Linked DNA regions of Schizosaccharomyces pombe. Changing the gene in region 2 together with the main gene of any one other region gives a genetic interaction. Each region holds a gene or a part of one and is shown on either strand. Other genes may lie near its edges.

What was found. A genetic interaction does not mean that the proteins touch.
Region 1: mutations in swd2 (region 2) and ccp1 together harm fitness more than expected from each alone (negative genetic interaction), as found in Schizosaccharomyces pombe (2 studies listed by BioGRID).

The regions. Positions count from the first base shown.
Region 1 is NC_003423.3:2,392,298-2,397,505, forward strand, and holds ccp1 (CENP-A histone disassembly chaperone Ccp1), read right to left. Parts: upstream 3,285-5,208; 5' UTR 3,265-3,284; coding exon 3,192-3,264; exon of another isoform or gene 3,102-3,191; coding exon 2,991-3,101; exon of another isoform or gene 2,922-2,990; coding exon 2,406-2,921; exon of another isoform or gene 2,313-2,405; coding exon 2,278-2,312; 3' UTR 2,146-2,277; coding exon of another isoform or gene 1,497-2,145; 3' UTR 1,406-1,496; coding exon of another isoform or gene 1,377-1,405; 3' UTR 1,272-1,376; exon of another isoform or gene 1,261-1,271; intron 1,210-1,260; 3' UTR 1,175-1,209; downstream 1-1,174. Other genes in the region: protein mug20, read right to left, coding at 254-307, 362-629, 673-806; tlg1 (SNARE protein Tgl1), read left to right, coding at 1,377-1,405, 1,497-2,145; eIF2 alpha kinase Gcn2, read left to right, coding at 4,378-4,494, 4,544-5,208.
Region 2 is NC_003423.3:1,781,234-1,785,255, forward strand, and holds swd2 (Set1C complex subunit Swd2.1), read right to left. Parts: upstream 1,987-4,022; 5' UTR 1,924-1,986; coding exon 1,748-1,923; intron 1,688-1,747; coding exon 1,423-1,687; intron 1,375-1,422; coding exon 742-1,374; 3' UTR 712-741; downstream 1-711. Other genes in the region: SPOM_SPBC18H10.05 (WD repeat-containing protein), read left to right, coding at 1-541; wbp4 (WW domain-binding protein 4), read left to right, coding at 2,026-2,079, 2,153-2,773; ubiquitin hydrolase Ubp4, read right to left, coding at 2,986-4,022. UniProt on the Schizosaccharomyces pombe protein: The Set1 complex specifically methylates 'Lys-4' of histone H3.

The sequences.
Region 1 (5,208 bases), 610 kb from region 2:
GAGAATAAGATAATAAGTCATTTAGAATATCAATTGTAGTAAATATCAAAAAGCTATCCAAGAAGAATAACTTTATCAGAAATTACGCATTTAAACATCTTTTCTTTATGTATGTTTCATAGAGCTCAGAAGCAAATTTAGCGCCGTTTCATTTAGACCTTAATATAACGATGTCAGCGTGTTTGATGAAAGTTGACTTTCTTCGTTATTATCAAGCTTGGTTTGAGGCAGTATGACATTAGATCTCTGAAATTTAAAAATTGTCGAGAATAGCTTTATGAGTTGAGGTTTCAATCATCTTTAGTTTCTTTAAATTTATTGAGGTTAGTAATATGACAATATAATTTGTTTTTATGTTTACCTCCATTGCACATTTGAGCTTATTTTGGGAATTACGACGATGCTGAACTAAATTCTTCTCAAAATTCTGGGAAAGTGCCTGAAATTCTTCCAATGCATATTCTTGGGAAGAAATAGAAGAGATCTTACTATTGACGGACTCCAATTCTGCGTTTATACTATTATATTCCACCAACAGGTTTGACAGGTTTTTCGAAGCATCCAGCTGTAATTTATCTAAAGCACGAAGCTTCTCCTCTGTCGTTCTTAGGCTTTCTAAAATCACGTCTCTGAATTGTTGGGTCAATTAGCTGAAGAAACTTATGGACGTACTTGACACGTGCATTCAAAAAATATGAATGCAATGCACTATCATGATGCTCACTGAATGCTAATACTGCTTCAGATACCATGTTAGCATGGCGATTGCTCAGCTCTGTTTGCAAAGACGTTATAATTTCAGACATGTTGTGGTTCTTGATAACATGTTAATAGTGTCTACGCGTCTTTTGTTTACATCAAGCTAGCGATATATAGCGTACTGTTTTAGCTCACAAGACTTTCTTTGTGTTCAGTTTCTCTTAAAACATTTAGTCTTAGGTTTTTAGCAATAGAATTAATTTTTTAGCACAAAGGCTAGAATGAAAGATTGCTTTTGGCCATTGAAAACGTTTTATTTACCTAGATGTTTACATTTAATCTAACATACAACGGTGGAATACGGTTGAATCAAAACAAAATAGTGACAAGGGGAGGTTGCTGTTTTTTCAACAAGATTGAGATATTGCTTTCTTATTTATTCTCCATTACTTGTTTTGTAAGGACTCAATGTTTACGGTGATCTTTGAGTGAGCAGTTAGGTAGCGTTATCTATCGTAAAGTCGTTACTTGACTGAATCAGCACAGTACTTTAGTATTTGCAGACAGCATACCTGATAATACGAATTTGCTTCGTTTATTTTATATTATCTTATTTTTCTTTAAATTATAAAAGCATTTCCAAGTAGAAAATTGGCTCATATCTCTACATCATCAACATGGAGGACCCCTTTTATGAAGTCAAAGCGTAAGTTGTGCAATGATGAACCAGAAATGTCTTAATAGATTCCTTTTGTTGCTTTAAGATTTTATTTAACTGACATTTATTCGAAATATAGGGATGCATCAAATCAAATGGAGCAAGTGCGAAAGCTTTACAATTCTTTTATGGCCGCACGAAACTCTGGAGTCCTTTCACCAAATACTGAGCTTACTTACGCCATTGATGAGTTAAGCGAAACATTGAAGGACTTAAAAGCTGCTGTGGAAATAGCGATGAAAAATTCTGAGCATTTTGGGTTAGATGAAGAAGAACTAAAGTCGAGAAGGAGATTTGTCTCGGAACTGGATATTGAGTTAAACAATATACAGTTAAAGATGGGTGCTGCCCCAAGCACACCAGTTTCTACAGAACCTTATACTGTTGACAATGGTGCCTCAGCTGGTTTGTCTGAAGAAGATCATGCTGTCAATCGACAATATCAAGAGCAGCTTTATCAGCAACAAGACGTAATGCTGGACGGGGTTTACGACACGATTGGAAACATTCGTGGGCAGGCAGCTTTGATGGGCGAAGAATTGGGTCAACAGGCTGACTTGTTAGATACTCTTGACAATTCCATTGAGACCACTAATAGTAAGCTTCGCAGGGGTATGAAGCGGTTGAAAGATTTTACGATTGCAAGCGCAGACTCTAAATCTGGATGTTGTATTACCGTACTCATTATCATCTTAATTGCATTGTTGGTATTGGTTATTGTGCTGTAACTAAATCTTTATATTGTATTATTTAATTCTTTGAACCATCTTCCCAATAAACGAATAACCAATCATTCCATAGGTAACCTCGAGCTTTGGGAAGACAAAAAAAATTTCATGTCTGTGTTCTCGTTCCTTAAATTAATTAGACTTCTTGGACTTTTTGGAAGGTGGTTCTGCGATTTTTGTGTTAGTTTTACAATACATTGACATCTATCATATCATCTATTCATGCTTTCGCCTTATTTTTTTAAGACCTGTTTTCGTACCTTGCTTTTCTTCGTCCCCTTCTTCGTCTTCTTCGTCTTCTTCTTCCTCATCTTCCTCCAAATCTACTGACTCATCCTCATCACTCGCTTCTTCGGTCATGGCTTCTGTAAAATATTTTACAGCATTTGGAAAAAGATCCTCTGCCAGAAAAATTGTGAGTGTTGCTCCATCAAAATCATCGTCCTCTTCCTCTCCGGTCCATTGAAAATAGTCAAAAAAATTAGGAGGTAATTTTTTATTTTTTCTAAATAAACTCTTTCCTGGTTTCCAATGTATATCAACAGGTTGCGAAGTATACTTGGTTATCTTTTTTTCCAAACCCTCATCATCCTTTGCTTTTTCCTCTTTAATTCTCACTTCTTTTACCAAGGTAAGGTTGTCGTCCTGAAGATATTCGTTTGGTTGAAAGGTAAGCGAAATTCGGACATCCCTTGGTTCCTTTTCATTAAACCTTTCAACATAAATATTTTCGAGTTTTTCAAGTAACACACTATCTTCAGGTGTTATGTACTGGCCTGAAATAACTTAATTAGAATTTCAACAATGTTTAAACAAAAACAATAATAGTATACAATTTTACATACTGATTTCATCCCCAGCAGCTTCCAGAACTACTACCCAAAAGTTGTTAATGGTCTTCAAAATATCACGACGCTGCTCAAAAAGCGGTTGAAAAAGCTCATTTTGTTTCTTCACTAGCACCAAGATACATTAGCAATTGTTAACACATTTTTTATAAAAAACGTAATTTTATGCTACAAAAATGCAAAATCGATTAAACATACATATTTCGATTTCTGCTTTTCCAAACTCTTGCTCTAGGTTTGCGAGATTTTCAAAAGCTTGAGCTGCCTCCATTTTGTAGGTTAATTTCGTGCAAGGGAGAAAAATCTAATAGTAATTCGAAAATTCTCACTTCGTCAACGATGATGAAGGCACTACCCTTACCACGTTTTTACGTACGATGAACAATGCTAGCAAAGTATATCAGAGGCTTTACTTTCCAATATAATGACTGCCGTAGCTTCTGTAGCTTGCAATAATTTAACCTTGACTTTTTCAACAGTATACAAACCATCCATATTACTAGTAATCGAGCAGGATTCTAGTTTTTAACTCACACCATTTTCATAGGTTGTTTTTATAAGTGTAATAACTTATTAGTCTGAACAAAGAGTAAAATTAGAAAATAAACTGTAGTTTGCGCGGTTTCGAGCTTTCAGGCTAGCGTGCTTGCATTTTCCAAACTTCTCCTGACCATGATGAAGAAAGGAGAGGAGGAAAAAAGGTATAACATTTCGAATGCAACTACAAATTTGTATTATATTGCATTATATGAAACGCTGTTATAGTTTACTGGTGTATCTATTTTATCAGTTATGAAGTATGTCTTTGTAGTTTAATCAAAAATCCATGATTATGGTAAAACAATGAAGAAAAGTTAACCAAACGCGATTAAAAGTTAAAACTTTTTGACCGCTTCACTTCAAACAATGAAGCGCTTTGCATACAAATGCAGATAATCATTATATCCAACTGTTCGTTATCGATTGAAGATCTGAAGTCTGATTCATCTTATCCAACTCAAAATTACATCTTAACTAAAGAATGTATGATCCGTGCCGATTATCGCATTTATTCGGCTCAAATCAATCTATACTCATTACAATACCAGTATACTGCGTTCTTCCATCTTTAGTATACCACGAGCGAGAAACTTCTTCCTCCAGCAAATTCGCGGCAAACAAGCAATTTATCTAAAAATCCAATTCAGAGGAAAGAAAAGAAATAGAATTGATAATAATTATATTTTCAAGTCCTATATTGCCGTCCTGATATAAACTGATTTGCTTTCTTTCCTTCCAGTTTACACAGGACGAATTTTCAACCAACAGTTTAATTGTGAATAAATATATTTGCTTCCTATTAAACTAGTAAATTATTGGCAACAATAGTTGGTAAAAGCTGTTCATGGATGCGGCGAAACGTCTGGAACTATGCAAGGAAATTCAAGAAAATGAAATTGAGGCCCTCAAAGCCATTTTTATGGATGATTTTGAGGAGTTGAAAGTTAGGAATGCTTGGAATGTATGATTAATGTTTGTTCACTACCCATTTACTAACAATGGTATCTTAGGTTACAAACGGCCATGTTTATTGTATACATCTATGTTCAAGAAGTGCAAACTCTAAAAGTATTGCGAAACTTGATCTTTGTATTGAGCTTGGAAGAAGCTATCCTTATGTGAAACCAGTGATCAAGTTACAAAATGGAGAAAATGTCCTAAACTCTCAGATTCGATTTTTGCTTGATAAGTTAGATACAAAGGCAAAAGACTTGCTAGGAGAGGAAATGATTTTTGAACTTGCCAGTATAGTGCAGGACTATCTTAATGATTGGCAGTCTGACCTCTCTTCTCAATTTGCTAGCTTGGAAGAGGAACGTGCGGTACAACTAAAGCATGATCGAGAGAGAGCGGAAGTGGATTTACAACTTAGGTTAAAACGGGAGAAAGATGCCTTATTTGAGGAAGAACAAACGCTTCAGAACAAAATTCAAGATGAATTACAACGCCGCTCATACGAAACACCGCAATCTTCTTCTAAGAAAAAGACGAATAGTAAGGAAACAACTTCTCTCGAAACCCTCCCAACTTCTATTTATTTTGATTGTTCTATATCCGTTAGAGACTGTCACGATTCTTTGGTTACATTTAATAGAGTGCTTCCTTTGTATACAATCTCGCATTCCAACCTTTCTACTTTGACTTTGGTCAAGCCTGAATCTAAAGAGATATCTTT
Region 2 (4,022 bases):
TGTTTTAGTATCTACTAATGACAATGCTATCCGGTTATACAACACGGTCACTCACGCTTTAGTGTTGAAACTGAGTGATGCTCATCGTGTTAATGGCAGAGTACTTTCTCGTTTAAGTGAAGACAACAGTTATATCATTAGTGGAAGTGATACTAATGAAGTAGTTTTATGGCATATTCCCAACAAGGTACTCATCAATGCATCAAGAAAACGCTCTGTCATTCTCCATTTGCCCACGGAAACATTCAAGGTTTGTAGTGAGAGACTGACTTCGACCATCATTGCACCAGCAAGGACTGCTGTCGAAGCTAAAGAGTCGGAACATGATCGCAGTTTAATTGCAGAAGGATACAATCTAGTAAAACCTCATAGTCACAGATCATATGGAACACCTCCTGTACATCCGATTGATATAATAATTGCTACCAACATGGCAGGTATGACTATTGTCTTGTGTGTTGATTATGATTTGGGGAATTCCCATCATGGATTTAGAAACTCAAAATTTGGACACTTTGTGAAGCGTTTATTACGAACCTAATCTCGATTCAAAACTAATATTACTTTACCTTTTTTTATTTTGTTTAAGTCTTCTAAGTCATTCAGGTGTCATTTAAAATAGAGGACTCATTTTTTCCCCCTTTTAAATAATAGTTATGAAGTTTTTTTATGAAATTGTTTTTAATAATAGTATAATATAATATTCATTTTTTCGTGGTTTGTTAAGACACAAAAACAATTTTACGTCCAGAAAATTACTCCAGAATGTGCTGTAACTAATTGAGAGAAGCGTGGATTAAAGCGAACAATAGAAGGTGTTTCTGGTAAAAGGTTTTTAGATGTTGAAGAAGGAATGATAGCTAGCGGGTTCTCTGTTGAATGACTATTGCTGGTCGGAGTAGTTGATGCTAGGCCCATTTCGGTGAATGAATTAACAATGTGATCCGAGTTAACAGTTTGTTTCAGTTCTGGTAGTTGATACATGCAAAGATGCTCATTATCATATGAAGTAAAAAGAAATTTACTATCTGGAGACATGCAAGCTGAAGCATAATAAGTCAAATTTCCATCTTGGGTTTTTGTGCTAACCTTTGAAGGAACTCTTAATAATTCACTTCCACTATAAGCGTCTATAACGTAATGAAAATCATTTCCAGTTGTTAGCAATAGATATTTACCATCAGTACTGAATTCCACATTTGCAATGCGGACATGAGGGGGCAGGAATGTTAAAGGAATGTCTTGAAATGGGCGAGCATCAAATGATTTAATGTTATAAAGAGAAATTTTGTATTTTCTTTCACTAACTGAGGCAAAGATTAGTCCTGTAGCATCAAAAGCTGCAACAACGGGTGAACTAACATTGAGCAAACCCTACGTATTCCTAGTTAGTTTGATTATCAGTAATTGTTATACTCATACCTGGCAATTTGGAGACCGAAGGTCCCAAAGGCGAATAGTATTATCTAAAGAAGCGCTTAAAAAAGTTTCATCTGCTGGTGATACATCGATTGAAGTCACTGTTTGCTTATGGCCAGGAAAATATCGAAGATACCGATTTGTCACAACGTCTAAATAACGAACGGTATTGTCTTCCTTTGTGGAAGCATGTATTAATGAATTTGAATGATGAGTAAACCGACCTAAATGTGCTCCGTACTTTTTGCTTGCAAGTGATTTCACAAATCTAGAAGTTCATGGTCAGTTAGCCAAACAGGTTTCAAAAGTGAATTTAAGAAGTACTTACTTTCCAGAAATGCAGTTATACAGTTGTAAAGTATCATCAGTACACGACGCCAAGCACAACTCTCCACTGTCGTCAAAACTGAGAGAGGTAATTTCACCAACAAAATTCTGATTTTTCAGCCATTTTCTTGGTTGCATAGACGACAACAAGTCAAAAGTAATTGAAACTGTTGTCATTACTAAATAACGGTATGCTAAAAGGTGGGTTTCCTGAGAAAAATATATGGGTAAATAAGTTTTAAGTATGTATTTAGTGCGTATCTCCTATTAATATTCAGAATGGCTGATTACTGGAAAAGTATTCCAAAATATTATTGTAAATATTGCCAAATAGTAAGTTTTTTCTATAACATCCAAAAATTATTTCTAAAGTGGTGAAATTAATAGAATCCTACTAACAGTACAGTTCGTGAAAGATACACCATTTGCGCGACGGAGCCATGAGCAAACTTATAAACATCAGGATGCTATTAAAAAAGTAATGGATGATATTCATCGTTCCAACCTTTTAAGGCAGGAACTTGAGAAGAATTTATCTATACCAAAATCAGCTACTGCTACCACTGCTTCAGCGGTGTCATCTGAACTAGCATCGTATGAGAAACCAAAAAAGGAGCATCCAAAATTACGTCCCTCTAAAAAAAAAGCTACTTTGGATGATTGGGATATTCCTACAAGTTCTACGGAGACTGACACCATCTCTACTACTCATACCAGCTATATTCCTACATTGCTAGCAAAGCAAGAAGAAAATGAAGAAACCAAGGAAACAACTACTAATAAAAATGAGTCTCTACCAGGGACCTCTTTGAAAAGAAACAGAGAGATCATCGAAAAAGAAGAAAGATCTTCATTTCATTTTCGGGTAAAACCAAAAAACTTAGATAAAGTACCTAAGTTAGCTGAAAACGAGGGAAACAAATCGCTAGAAAGCAAGGAATCAAATGAAAACAAAGTGGTGTTTAAAAAGAAAAAGTCTGGAAAGTTAAGAACAAAATCTTCCTTAAAAGAATATGATCAATCTTGAAGAAAAAAACCATCTTTGTTTAAAAAAAATTCTAGGATGAAAAAATTTTGTATCCAATTCCTGCATTCTGTTCAACATAACGAGAGTAGCTTTTGTGTTGGGTAATCAGCATTAAGTAAGTATTCATATCGGTTATGAATGCTAAGTTGAACATTTATTCAATAACTATATTTGAGGTTTATTGAAAACATTTTTCCTTTTTTTATTTTGTTTTATTTAACATTTCTTTTCAAAGTCATTTTGGGACACTTATCTTCAAACTCCTCCAACAGACTTGAGCGTTTATAAAAAAGAATGTAGGAAGAGGAGAAATCTTCTCTCAAGTCAGTAATACCGCCCACTGTTCGAACAATTGAGTCATCAATATGGCACCATTCATTATTAAAAAGTACATCAGATATATAATGTCCATTTTCGAGCTGGCCATAATGACAGATAAATGCAAACAGGTTATAATTGCTAGGAATATAACCAATTCCCGATTGGAAACTCGGTGGTACCAGCATTTTACTTGGAATCTGTAAGCTCAATCCAAGTGGTGTATCAATTTTTTTACGACCCATTACGGATATTTTAAATCTCTGAATTTGTATGATCAAATATTCAGGTAGTTTCGAAATCATAATTACTTTTTTTGCCGACCTTTGAACCTTGCACACGGGACAATGCCATCCATCATGCCCTTGCAAGAGTTCAGGAGCTGAAAATTTTAATAAGCATTCTTGTAGGCTTACTACATGGGAGACATCGTCAATCGGTATCGCAAGCGATGTGAAGGGAGCAAAAGTAGTAGATGTGCGGCCACATGTCATACATTGAGTACGACTGCAAAGTTGACCTACAAAATTGTTGACCACAATACTCTTGTTAGACCGGAGATGCAAGTTCCATTCAATGTGTGAAAAGTGGGACAATGGGAGTTCTTCTCTGGCACTTAATTGATCTTCCGTCAACGGTGCTATCGGAGACCGAGATGCATTGGAGTTCAAATCTTCATGAAGTTTATCAAGAAAGAAATTTAAAAATTCTTGAGCATCGCATTGGCCATCGATGGAGAAATCTCTATTCAATGACTGTACAATTTCTAAAAAATTCCTTGGAGATATTGATCTCTGACCATGGTTTAATAAGACACTTTGAAGCAAGGAAAAGAAAGCAGATGTGATTTTTCCACCGGTACCCAATGGATTTTTGGTATTGATATTTTGAAGCAATCCTCTCCCCTGTAACATAGGAATAGTCAAGTCCT